Linked DNA regions of Caenorhabditis elegans. The protein of the gene in region 2 purifies or fractionates together with the protein of the main gene of each other region. This does not show direct contact. Each region holds a gene or a part of one and is shown on either strand. Other genes may lie near its edges.

Region 1 (8,584 bases), on a different chromosome or scaffold from region 2:
TCAGTAGACAGTAACATTATCTTCCGATTGGTATGCTTTTTGCTCCATATTTCCACCATATTTTTACGGGGCTCCCAGTTTTTCACTTACATGTGGTGAAGGATCACAGACCAGAAGAAGACGTGTTGTACGTGCTAGAAATGATGACTGGGAGGAAATCGAGTGTGATGATACGGAGACCGAAGTCCGACAGTGTACGGGTCGTCATCAATGTTGATAAACTCTAATTTTAACAATGAAATTTTATGAAAGTGAATATTTGATTCAGATTAATTTGACAACGAAGGAATTTGATTGTTGTGATTACGTAAATGGGTATCAGGGGCGAGATTATTTGTTAAACAGAGATCGAAAATAATAAATGCTTAGGTGAAAAAGTAAAAAAATAGTTCCCTAGTTTTAGTTCGTAAGAGTTGATGGCTCCTCTGAAGTAGATGGCTCGGAGAAGGAGGCTTCAACAAATCCAGTTTGACCATTTTGATCTTCCAGTTGAGCTACTTGCTGATGCCATGCAGCAGATAAATGAGGCTGAACTACTGGCGCATGCTGTGGATGAGCGTCCCGCCAAACTCGATAGCTGAAATAAATTATTAAAATTTGAAATCGTCGTTCTCTCACCCAGGGGTTAATTTCCATTGATAGTAGTATTCGATAAGTTCTCCAACTTTCCGGTAGGGTAGCTAAAATAAAACATTATGAAAACTTTTTGAATTTGCAAAATATACAACTAACCCGTAGTCTCCTTATCAGCGAAAAATCTTTTCCATACAGCTCGAGTGACTCTTCAAATGCCTTTGCTTCACTCTCATCGAATCCCAATGCATCTGAGCGAACAGTGCGGAATGGGGCATTTATATGAGGAAAAGGGAATGATTCTTTCGCCTTTTCTGTGTCAAAGTTGCTTCTATACAAAGCACATAGAGCGTCCTCGTCGTCTCGTGATTCGGTGCCAGCTGGTGGACATGGTTGGTCGTGGGCTTTTCGTAAGCCTACTACATCTTTGAGATAGTTGTCAATAACTTCATCACTTGGCTGATTCGTCTGATCAATTGTCCATAAAATAGTGTCATCTTCTCGAGCAGATTCTGAAGAAATAAATCGATATAGAATCAAAAATCAGATCATTGCTTACCTTCAACCGTTGCTTCATTAAAAAGCGGGACGTCGGCTTGGAAAAGTACTGGATCCACACGAATACTTCTTTTCCATGGGTCTGGCGGTGGTGCATAGTCGTCATCATCGTCGTCGAAGCCACTCATTGAATTACCCATATCGAAAATTGTTGAGTCGTGCGGTTCTGCAGCAGCCGAACTTGATTCCCCTACATTCTGAAAAATATAAACATTTTATAATTTCACTTTATCATTTGTAAATTACTTCTTCGGCGATTTCCGTATCTTCATTGTTTGCAGATGAATTTTCCGCTGGACGATAGCCATACTTACGTTGAAGTTCTTCAATTGACATTTCTCCCTCATCTTCCAAGTCTGAAAAGAAAAATGAGTCAGAAGCAAATTAAAGAAATTCACCTTTCAATTCATCTTCGTAGTCCCCTTCATCTAGAAGCTCCTCCTCTTCAATTGTCGCTGGAAAACCATACGTTGAAGAAATTTGAAAAAATATATATATAAGCATACCTTCATAGTCTTCGCCATTATCATTATCGTCTACATAATCTTCTTCATCAGTGATAGACGAACGAGAACCCTCTTCATCCATATTCAAAGCCTGGAAACTAACAAAAGTTGTATTAAAAACGGAAAAAGCGAAAATAAGTTAAAGCGGTTTGCGCGTCGACTAAGACGTAATTCTCTGTGTGCGGTGTTTGCGGACTTGTTTACAGTAGCTCGCAAAATAAAAAATGATGCAAAGCCAATGGGTGTTTCTAAAAAAGGGGAAGTTAATTTTGAAAAAGTAGAAAGCAACACAGATATAACAAAATAGTATAACAATTTATTAAAATGTAATTCAAATGTTCAGTCTGTTAAATGAAGCCGCCCCTAATATTAGGCAGCTAATCAAATTTAAAAAGTACAGTAACCAAGAAAGTTTTCAGAAAGGCGCATTACCGAAATCGAGCAGGTCTTACAACGTTCTTCAAGGAGATTGTTTGGCGCCCAATTCCTCGAACACACGTTCAGCGTGATTTTCAGTGTGTTTTCTCATTTGTTTTCGTGCAATTTCATCCTTATAATGCTAATATTATCTGTAATTAATCGTTCCACGATGATACTAATACCAGTAACATCGACGGAGGCACTGACGATCATTTATAAAATATTTGAAACTCAAAAAATTTACTGAGCAAACGCTTTAGTGTTAGAAACAAGATTTCAATTTTGCAGATGGGGGAGCAAAGCCATGAAAAAGATCATGATGAAGCGCACTCCTACAATCCATTCGTTCGCTCTGCCGTTGAATACGATGCTGACACACGCCTCCAAATGGCAGAAAATGCGGCATCTGCAAGGTATTAAATATGGTTTACGCTTACAACATTCTAATACTCCGATTTTAGAAAACTATTTGTATCGTCTGCCCTCAAAGATATTATCGTGAATCCTGAAAACTTCTATCATGATTTCCAGCAATCTGCACAGGTAAAGGCAACAACTTGTTATGTTACAGTCAAACAATTCAGATGGCGGAGGATGCTAATCAGAGACGACAGGTGTCATACAACACGAAACGAGAGGCTCATATTCATCAGCTAAAAGCGCAAGGATTGCCTCTGCCGTCAAATATACCAATGGTTTGACTGCTTCACATTCCACTGATTAACTGATTCAACATTTAGATCGAGATTAACCCAACTAGAGTAACCCTCAATATGGAGTTTGAATCCCAATACTATTCACTAATGACCAGGTTAGTTCACCAGTTAAGCGAAAGAAATTGTATTCATTTCAGTGACAACGGGGATCACGAGAATGTCGCGTCAATCATGGCAGAAACTAACACCCTCATTCAACTTCCCGATCGTTCTGTCGGAGGAACTACACCTGATCCATTTGCACAGCAAGTAACCATCACTGGATACTTTGGTGACGTGGATAGAGCACGAATGTTGATGAGAGTACGTTCAACTCTGATTATATGAATAATGTTCGTATTTTACAGAGAAACTGTCATTTTACAGTTTTTATGGCACTGTCAAAAATGAAGATGCCACTTCACGAACTTCAGGCACATGTCAGACAGAACCCCATTCAAAATGTGGAAATGTCTTTCGTCGATGCTCCAGAAAAGGCAAGCCGATTTAGCTAGTAACCAACAGTATTAATTTTCTTCAGAATGGAATCGTCACAACCTATCTTCGTATCACCGCCCGCGAAAAGAATCAGCATGAACTGATCGAAGCTGCAAAACGACTGAATGAAATACTTTTCCGCGAGTCTCCGGCACCGGAGAATGTTAGCAGATAAACTGAATATATATCCTGAACATTTTGTTTTTCAGAATTTCACTCTCCATTTCACATTGTCAACATACTACGTGGATCAAGTTCTTGGAAGTTCATCGACGGCGCAACTCATGGTTTGGCTAAAGGATATTTCTATTACATCAGCATTAAATTTCAGCCTGTAATCGAGAGGGAGACAACGACAATAATTAGTTATCCATGTTACAATAATCGAAACGAAACTCGTGGAAATATTTATGAAATTAAAGTTGTTGGGAACATTGACAATGTTCTTAAAGCCAGGAGATACATAATGGTGAGGAGTATGAATACATAGAAAGATATACACTCGAGAATTTACAGGACCTCCTTCCTATTTCGATGTGTTTCAACATTAAAAATACTGATATGGCAGAACCGAGCAGAGTTTCTGATCGGAACATACACATGATTATTGATGAGAGTGGGATTATTCTTAAAATGACTCCTTCCGTGTATGAGCCCGCGGATCTACTGTCAGGAGAGGTTCCGTTGAACTGTGCCAGTCTTCGTTCGAAGGAGTTTAACATAAAGAAGCTGTACACCGCTTATCAAAAAGTTCTCTCGGTAAGCGCACGTCTCTCTGAAATGAGATTAAGAACAAGTAATTTTCAGAAAAAATTTGATTTCATTGCTCCACAACCAAATGATTATGACAACTCCATCTGGCATCATTCTCTTCCGGCAAACTTTTTGAAAAATTTCAATATGCCGGTTAGTCATGTTTATTTTACATTTTAGTTCAAAACGAGATTTTTTCAGTGTCGGGGTGAACTTTCTGATGGTTCAAACGGTCGTCGTCATAGAAGCTCATCAATAGCTTCTTCTCGTTCCAAACACAGTTACATGAGCAAAGGAAAACAATTTTCTGAGTCGTCTGGGGGTCCATCAAGGTCTCACACAAGAGTATCTTCGTTTTCCGAAAATTCATGTGAGCAATTTGCCTTTTATGATTGTAAATAGTACACACAAATTATACTATAAAATTATTTAAGAAAAGCATATCAAATTTATTTAAATAACAATGATAATAATATTACTACAGAGTGCTTTAAAATCAGGAAATTTTGCAGCAACCGTCCCTATTATGCAATTTCCAACGCCACATTTTGCACCACCAATGTTAACTCCTCATCATCACATGCTGAAATACGTCTATTTGCAGCAACATCAGCAAGCTCAGACATTTTTGAAAGGTTGCTATTATATATTTTGTTTCGACAATCATACAAGCTTTCAGGTGCAGCTGGATTACATCCTGGCACACATATCATGTTCCCTCCACCGATCATCGTCGATGGATCCTTTGGTGCGCGTTATTCTTCAAATATTTATCCATTTTCTTACATAGTTCCACAGAACTTTAACTTTTTGAACGGAAATTTCGGTCACCTTTAGAAGATCTCTCGTCATGTTATATATTCATCGTGTAAAATGAGCTCTTCATGAAAAATTTGCCAAATTCTGGATAGTTTTAAGCCACAAAATTTTCTCTTGTTCCTCCTACCGCCACTATGTAATATTTGTCTTTTCACCCGGTTGTGATGATCTTATTACGTAAATTCAACCACAATAAAGCGTTTAGCTTCCATCAATATTCTATGTCTTCGTAAAAATTATCATTATTGAAATTTTGTGTTTCAGTGTCTGCTCTGCCATTTGCGGATCCTGTAGTATTTGATGGTTTTCCTTATGTCCACGGATTGTTTCCGGTAAATGAAGGTTGGTTTATTCGTTCAAAGCATCATTGCAACAATCACTTTCAGCCGAACAACACAGAAATCACCGTGAATCATCACCATCTCTACGATCAACACAAGAAATCAGAAAACCGTCTAGAAACATGGGAAATCGACCATCATCGAGCACAGGTTCTTATTATCCATCGACAACACCTCGTCAACGTGTTTACGAACAAGTTCGAGAAGATGATCTTCGTTCACATATTGGTTCAAGAAGAACATCAGTGAATGGAGACGATCAGAATGTTGAAAGCATGCACGACCGTAAGACTATGACAATAATAAAATTGATAAAATCATAATTATTACAGAAGGATATGAAAGACAGTACCCACGACAGCATCAAAGACTTCAGAAGGATGATCAACAACGCTGGAAGACAGGAAGTCGTGGAGATATTCACTCAAGTAGAACAATTAATGTGCACAGAGACGTTCGCAATTCCAATGAATACGACTTTCATGTGGGAAATTCTGGGCCAGCTAAGAGGTCCCCGTCTTTGGAACAAGTACAATTGCAAATGACACACCACTTGAAGTTGAAATCGAATGATGTTGATTTGGATCATGAAAAGCTTTATATGCATGAGTCACCGCACAATGATTCTGATACTACAGTTTCTGCAAGTGGCTTCGGAAATGATTTAATGGATGGAGACTTTGTTCAGAGATTCCTATCCAATGCAAATATCAATGAATCGGGAAGAAGACCAAGAACAGTTAGCTGTTTTACCGAGAAGTACGTTTTTAAAGTTGAAATTAAAAGAGTTTATAGCTTTTCGTTTACATCATAAATGAGCATTTTTAATTTGCAAAAAATACATATTTAAGCATTCATATAATCAAAACATTTTACAGAGATGGTCAATCCGCCCGATACATCGATTCTGATGGTGCATACAGCGTTGTTGATCATGCATCCACACATCAATCTCGTTCATATGATAGCTTCAGAAAAGTTGGCGACAACGGAGTCACAAAAACCATATTGGAACCACGTGCTCGAGTAGAGAAAGATTATGGCAAAATAAGCCTAGAACACAAGACGAAATACTCAAATGAGTACGGTGATGAAGAGAAGTCAGCAGAAAATGATACGTCTTCGTTGGGATCTAGACAATACAGAATTGATCCAATGAAGTTAATAGCTAGTGTTCGTGAATCGAGTGAGCAACTACCACGTATTCATGAAAGGCAGTTTAGCGATGTTCTGAATGAAAAAGAAAAAGAGGCAAGTAGTCTATTGGCTTGCCATAATTATCTGTAAAGCTTCAGATCGCCGACAAAAGTATTGAATCTACAGTAACCCAAGATCTTTCGTTAGGTTTGTAAATCCACAATTGGCTAATTAACATACATATATTTCAGACGAAACATCTACATATTGAGAAATCGGGATTTTTCCAATAGCTTCTTCTACTTCTTACATCAATTTTCGCTATATATGAACCCTATTTGTGCATATCGTATACGGCTCCATCAATTTTTATCTTACAAACCATCCATTTGCCTGTCGAGAATATCTTTGTATCCACGGGACTTATACGACTAGGCCGATGGTTGGTGCTTAGCCTTCACAGTTCTACACTTATTTTAACCGAAATTATTTTCCAATTCTTCCCGTATTATTTCATTGTTGTCACCTCTTCGTTCGTCATTTTTCTATCTTTTCATTCCTTTTGCAGACGTTGGAAGCATAGGTAACATGAAAAATTAAATGAATTCACAATGAAATTCAGAATTTTCGTGCATCTATACTTCCAATTGCAATTTATGGCACTGTCGATGTTCCCTTCCCTATATTTAATGTTCTTCCTTTTTTCTCCCATAATTCCCAGTTGTTTTTGATCGCAATATTGTCCCGGGTCCCATCATATCTAGGTTTGTTTCAATGTATTCCATCTTTCCTTTCTTTTTTCATCACTTCATATACACTACCACTTTTATTGTCTTTTCTTTTTTTTTCGTCATTCAACTAGGATTTCATTAGCAGTTTATCCCAATTTCCTCTACAGTTCTGTTTATAAATGAAAGAATTGCGGAAATATTGTTGTTAATCACATCTTATCGTCCGACAACTTTCGATTCAGCAAGGACATGTTCATTGATAATGTTCTAAATTTCTAATATGGAAAGTCTCTTGGTCGTTCAAATCCTCGCCATAGTCTTCATACAAGTGGAAGATTTTGATTTTAGAAAGACTAAAATTAATTCGTCTCACTTGAATGTAGCGATAAAAGGATAGAAGAAACAAAAAAATTTTTCCTGAATTTCCCTGAATCGATACACTTTCTCCATATAATCGTAAAGCGAGGTCTCTCTTTTTTCTTGAAACGGACTGTCCATTGGAGGCACTTATTTCTTGAAATGAGCCAATCTTCGACCGCCTGACTCTACTCACTCCATAATTTCATCTGCATCATCTTCTTTTCCCAAACCAAAAAATGTGTATTCTTATTCAAAACGACGCTTGTTTTTTTTAATACGGAAAGAAGATTTGATGACAGACTTCCTTGGATTTTTCGTTAATATGTATATGTGTAAATTTTTTTCAAATTAAAGATAGTAGTGCATTGGGAATATTGTTAAAAAATCACTCATATAGTACTAAAATGACGATGACTCGGTTTTCCACACTCATCATAATTTTGGAAGTCGACAATTTTTTTTCATTATTAAAATGTTTCTAATAATAATTATTTTATTATTGTAGGAGCTGAAACATGTGATTTTTTAACCGAATTTTTCCTGAATTTTTCGCGAAATTTGGCAATTGACCAAAACATTGACTGAAAATTTCAAAAATTGTGCTTTTTTGAAATTCTTTTTTGAATTGTGCAAAAAGTGCTTTTTTGAGTGAATTTAGATTATTATGAGTTAATTCAAAATAAATCCACGTTAAAGCTACTCCATCTGGAAAGCTTAAAAAATCGTTCTTTTTTGAATAAAGATAAAGAAATAGAAGAATCGATTATCTGATTACCTCTCTTCAAAAGATTTTGAGAAGACACTCAAAGTAAACCTGTCTGCCTTATTCAATTGCATTCACTTAATGTTCATGAACATATTCTCGTATTGAACATTCTTTTTTTGGCTTATTCATATAAGTTATTTCATTTGCACTTTTCAATTTTTATATATTTTTGAATCTACGCGAAACATTCTATGATTCAAAAGTTTGATCTCTCTTAAAATCTGAATCATATTAGCGTCGTTGACCAACTAAATATCGCTCATTTACGTACGCTCTGTGAACTTTTTTGGGAAGCACCAATGATATTTTAAGAAGCTTTTTGATGAAATTATTGATCTCTTATAACTGAATTTAATTTTCTTTTGTTGAAAATGAATAAGATTTGAAAAAATTGGCAGCATGTTTTATTACGTTCTATTTTAAACAA
Region 2 (4,883 bases):
TGTTTGTTGGTGATTATAAAATTGATAGAATTTTTTGGTGAGCTGATAAAAATTGTAAGAAAGAATAGTTATATTAACATTTCATTAAAATATAAACAATTTTCAAAATAGTCGTTGATTTACTGAATGTTTATTTATGATAAATAATATTCATGCAAGAATATTTATGACAATAGTTTTATGAACCCCCCATCTAATTTTATTAACTTAGTTAATTTACTCATTTCTCGTATAAAAGCAAAATATTCGGCTAATCAAATTTAATTTCAGAATTTAAGTGCAACACAAAGCGTTTTTCCATACTCATACTCGAGGCCTGAAGTAATTTTCGAAAGTTATACCAAAGTCTGTGTCACTTAAAAATAGTTCGTTGAAAGTTCTTACTTTTTAATATGATTTTTCAATATTCACGTGCATACAATTTTGACATGAATAGGTTCATTTTACAATAAGGTTTCATAACCTATCCTACTTACTTACACTACGTCAGTTTAATATAATAATAGATGTAGTAAATACCTTGATTTTAGATGGCTAGTTTTTATGGAAGGCGTGTATTAAACACAAGTGATTTGTGAATTGATTTATATCAGCTATGTTACAATATTGACATATAATTTGAAACGAAAAGCCATCATGCAGTCATGTCCGAGTGGTTAAGGAGATTGACTAGAAATCAATTGGGCTCTGCCCGCGTAGGTTCGAATCCTGCTGACTGCGGAACTTTTTTTTTTTGAAATTCGTGATTTTGTAGTCGATAAGTTTGGTCATTCAATATGGTTTCAGCTTCTGTCCTTGTCGATTCCAATATTGAAAACTGCATAAAAAATGGAAAAAAAAGTTTCGAGAAAAGTGGCTGTTCGTAATAATTATAAACAAGTTTTTTATTTGAATGGAAGTTTGTCTGCATCATGTCCTCGGTAGTATAGTGGTGAGTATCCGCGTCTGTCACATGCGAGACCCGGGTTCAATTCCCGGCCGGGGAGAACTTTTTTGTTGATTTTTCAATTGATACATTCAGAATATTACACAAGGTCATAGTTTCCAATCTGATTTATGTCCCTTTTTCTGAAATATGTCCTTTTTGGGAAGTGTTAACAACATTTAAACTTAAAAGTTTGATATTTAAGCTTTCAAAGTATTCAAGAAAAAACTGCGCAGGATTCCTAGAGAAGTCGATTCAGTTGTTCAAGATGCATGTCACTCCGAAAGAAAAAAAGTCGGGAATATTTTTTTAGAACTGGTAAATCGGACTAATCCAGACGTCCGTTTGCAGGATTCTAAGTGGCTTGGTGCCTGTTTTGAGGTATTGCAGAGATTTTTCAATAATTGTTTCGGTTAATAAAACATTTGTCTAATTGTGTTTCTCATTTTAAAATATTTACCATAAGAATGAATATGGAAACTGACGAACGAAACCTACGTGAGTGAAGTCTGTGTTTCACTGTACAAATCTTAAATTTCCAAATGGAAACGATTTTTGAAACAAAGCAACAATTTGTTGACAACCAACTCCAAATAAGATCCTAAAACTCAAAAAAAAAATTTCCATACAAAGTTACTATGGACAGAAACTAAATTTCCGAAACTGGATGTAAAGTTGGTGAAATTTTGTTACAACCATCAATTCCCGAATACAAACATCACCACTTCAATATCAGTCTATCTGAAAACAAATAAAAAAAATCTCCAAAAATTTATCTTTCAGAAACATATTTCAAAACCTCTGTACGATGTCTGGTTCCGAAATTACAGCCGTTTCTACGAACTCAGTTCTGCGCCGTTGCCATAGCAACTCCCTCCTCCCCCTTTTTATCTTTATCTTTATCCCCACAGCTTCTGGCTGCAACTGTGGCCTAGGCAGTAGGGCGGCTGTCTATGGATCAGAGCTTTTTTGATCCGACGGGTTCGACCCCCATGAATGGCAAAGCATGCGGGGCGAGATAGCAGAACTGGAGAAAAGTCTCGAAATGATAGAAAATTACTTGCAGTAAAGAAAAGACCCGGTAGTGCTCACCGAGATGTCTGAATGAATTTGGAGAATAAAAAAGAGCTCGGTCGATAGGGACTGTCTCTGAAATGGCACACTGTCGGCTTTCTGTGGTTGCTATAATACTCCCTCCCTTCATAATCCTATATATGAGAGCCTATAAGATCCATGTAAGGCAAAGCATGAGATAAAGCAGAACTGGAATATGAGTCTCAGATACCTCGGAAGTACTGTTGCATGAGGTATTGGCACGACGATTGAGCAGAACTGAACAATGAAAATGGATATAATTGAAGGAGATCGTTGATGAAATGTTCTCAAATTGCTACAAACATTGGAAAATCAGGGAATGAGAAAAACTGGGAGATGAAACAAAGAATTTCTGAGTTTTCAGCTGAATAATTGAGAAAAACGAGGCATTTGCATGGTGTCCTTCGCCACTTGTTCAATCTGAAAGTTCAAGAATGATCTGGTTTTGTTTCCCTTTATTTTCTGATTCTGTGGTAGAATGTTTTATGCCATCAAATACAATCTGTCAGCAAGCTCCTCGAATTATATACATTTCCAACTAGAATGTTGTAAAAGTAGTGGCTTACAAGGGTGACAGTTTCAAAATACAGAACTATTTTTGTATTTACACTGTGCACACCCGAAATTGAAATTCTTTTCAACCGGTACTCGATTTTTCTTCTTGAAAATTGAATGCGCCCTGTGGAGATATATTCAACTACTACTTACTTTTACAACTTCTAATGTTTTATGACATCTCTCAATTTTGCCGTCCTACTACTGGAAACTGAATAAAGTTAAACTTTTTTCAGAGTAATGGCGAATTCTCCGCTCAAAGTTGACAACTATATTTTGGAAAAGAAGTTGGGAGAGGGATCTTATGGGGATGTCTACTTCTGCAGAGACGAGCGAAACAACAAATGGAGTGTTATCAAATTGATTCACAAAGAGATAAATGGTGTTCGCGATGAGACCTGGCGCCGCGAGACTTTTGCACTCACTGCACTCGCGGAGGTCAGGGGGATCTCAAGAATGTATGACTATGGGGCGACCGACATTCATAATTATATTGGTGAGATGAGAGATTTGATGTCATACCTTAAAACTATTTTTTTTCAGTAATGGAGCCGCTCCTGGACGACTTGACCAACATTGCTCGCCGAAACGGTATCAAGGGATTCTCAAAGTCTACTGGATTTCACATCCTTTGGCAGCTTGTCAAAATCCTCCAAGATGTTCACTCTTTTGGGATTGCTCACGGAGACATCAAGGCTGACAACCTAATGATTTCCGGTTCGAACAAGGTAAGTCTCCGTTTTCTCGGTAACTTTCAAATAATTTCGTACTTTCAGACCTTCATGCTGTCGCTTGTTGACTTTGGTCTGTCACGCTCCTTCAAAGACCACAATGGCAACCGCACTCCCCCAATTCCATTTCCCAGCGGCTGCATCAATCTCATTCACACCCCCGCTCGAACCGCAAATGGCAAACCGCACATGGAAGCGGAGGACCTTATGCAAGTTGCATACCTCGCTTGCATCTGTCGCAAGCTTGCTCCGTGGGAAGATATCGATGGACACAAAATGACTAAACTGAAGAAGGCTTTCGTAAGTTTCCCATATACATAGGTTTCTGTCTTATAGTGTTATTTTCAGGCCGAAAAACCAAAGAAATTCCTTGGAGAACACCAGGATCTCAAGCCGATCATCAAGATCATCGCCAAGCAAAAACACGGAAAGGAGCCGAACTACAAGGAAATCATGGATCTTCTCCAAGAGATGCTCACCTCGTCGGGTGGAGGTTTCGCTGGTGATTCTCTCAAGGCCCAGTTCGTCAATGGAGCGATTGTCCTCCCATAATCCCCTGTATACTATAATGTTACTGGTTTCATTCCACTTCAGATCTTTTCATTTTAGATCTCATTTTTCGCTGGCTTGATTATTTCTATAGTAGATAAAAACATTTTTGTTTCAATTCAGTGTAAACTCAGTCTTGTGAAATTATAATTCAGTGAACAACTGAAATCTGTTGAGACTATCCGTGGAATGGTCAAGTTTTTCTTATTCTTCTTGCGAGACATATCATATATCAGCAACTTTTTTCGATTGGCATAAGTTGATTGAGAATGTATGATTAATGGGGGTCAAAATTTCAAAATGTAGAAGTATTCTTGCGACAAGCTTAAATATCAAACTTTTAAGTTTAAATGCTGTTAACACTTCCCGAAAGGGACATAATTCAGATTGGAAACTATGACTTTGTGTAATATTCTGAATGTTTCAATTGAAAAATCAACAAAAAAGTTCTCCCCGGCCGGGAATTGAACCCGGGTCTCGCATGTGACAGACGCGGATACTCACCACTATACTACCGAGGACATGATGCAGGCAAACTTTCAATCAAATAAAAACTGTTTTAACGGACATCCACTTTTCTCGAAACGTTTTTTTTCCAGTTCCAATGCAGTTTTAGTATTAGAATCAGGAAGGAGTGAAGTTGAAACCATATTGAATGACCTAACTTCTCGACTACAAAATTACGAATTTCAAAAAAAAAAGTTCCGCAGTCAGCAGGATTCGAACCTACGCGGGCAGAGCCCAATTGATTTCTAGTTAATCTCCTTAACACAGGTAAAGCGCGTCAGGTTAGTGGCAACCTGCCAGCAGACCGCTGGCTGCTGAATGGAGAACTTGCGGCAGGTGAAATCGCGGCCCGCTGTCAAGTTGACATTAAGCCGCCGCGGGCCGGCAACAGGCAACGTCAGGTTTGTGTCAGGTTCTTGTAGCTTTTGTATTAGGCTCTATATATACCGGGAGTACTGCTTTTTGTTATTAAATGTTAATACAAAAAGAGAAAAATTGCCAAATAATTTTGTTTATTGAAC

What was found. The genes of interacting proteins can lie anywhere in the genome.
Region 1: the proteins of F22F1.2 (region 2) and gld-3 fractionate together in Caenorhabditis elegans (co-fractionation; one large-scale study listed by BioGRID). This does not show direct contact.

The regions. Positions count from the first base shown.
Region 1 is NC_003280.10:7,130,298-7,138,881, forward strand, and holds gld-3 (Defective in germ line development protein 3), read left to right. Parts: upstream 1-2,345; coding exon 2,346-2,470; intron 2,471-2,518; coding exon 2,519-2,600; intron 2,601-2,641; coding exon 2,642-2,752; intron 2,753-2,797; coding exon 2,798-2,868; intron 2,869-2,910; coding exon 2,911-3,076; intron 3,077-3,120; coding exon 3,121-3,249; intron 3,250-3,293; coding exon 3,294-3,413; intron 3,414-3,459; coding exon 3,460-3,537; intron 3,538-3,581; coding exon 3,582-3,719; intron 3,720-3,766; coding exon 3,767-4,009; intron 4,010-4,057; coding exon 4,058-4,156; intron 4,157-4,204; coding exon 4,205-4,373; intron 4,374-4,515; coding exon 4,516-4,638; intron 4,639-4,682; coding exon 4,683-4,751; coding exon of another isoform or gene 4,752-4,840; exon of another isoform or gene 4,841-5,030; intron 5,031-5,086; coding exon 5,087-5,164; intron 5,165-5,208; coding exon 5,209-5,448; intron 5,449-5,495; coding exon 5,496-5,922; intron 5,923-6,041; coding exon 6,042-6,414; intron 6,415-6,458; coding exon 6,459-6,507; and 4 more. Other genes in the region: T07F8.4 (ELM2 domain-containing protein), read right to left, coding at 400-577, 619-680, 733-1,085, 1,133-1,328, 1,378-1,487, 1,530-1,586, 1,638-1,719. UniProt on the Caenorhabditis elegans protein: Required maternally for germline survival and embryogenesis. Forms a complex with gls-1 which promotes the oogenic cell fate by freeing the translational repressor fbf to repress sperm promoting factors.
Region 2 is NC_003284.9:8,148,649-8,153,531, reverse strand, and holds F22F1.2 (non-specific serine/threonine protein kinase), read left to right. Parts: upstream 1-2,810; 5' UTR 2,811-2,815; coding exon 2,816-3,071; intron 3,072-3,118; coding exon 3,119-3,303; intron 3,304-3,351; coding exon 3,352-3,606; intron 3,607-3,654; coding exon 3,655-3,858; 3' UTR 3,859-3,973; downstream 3,974-4,883.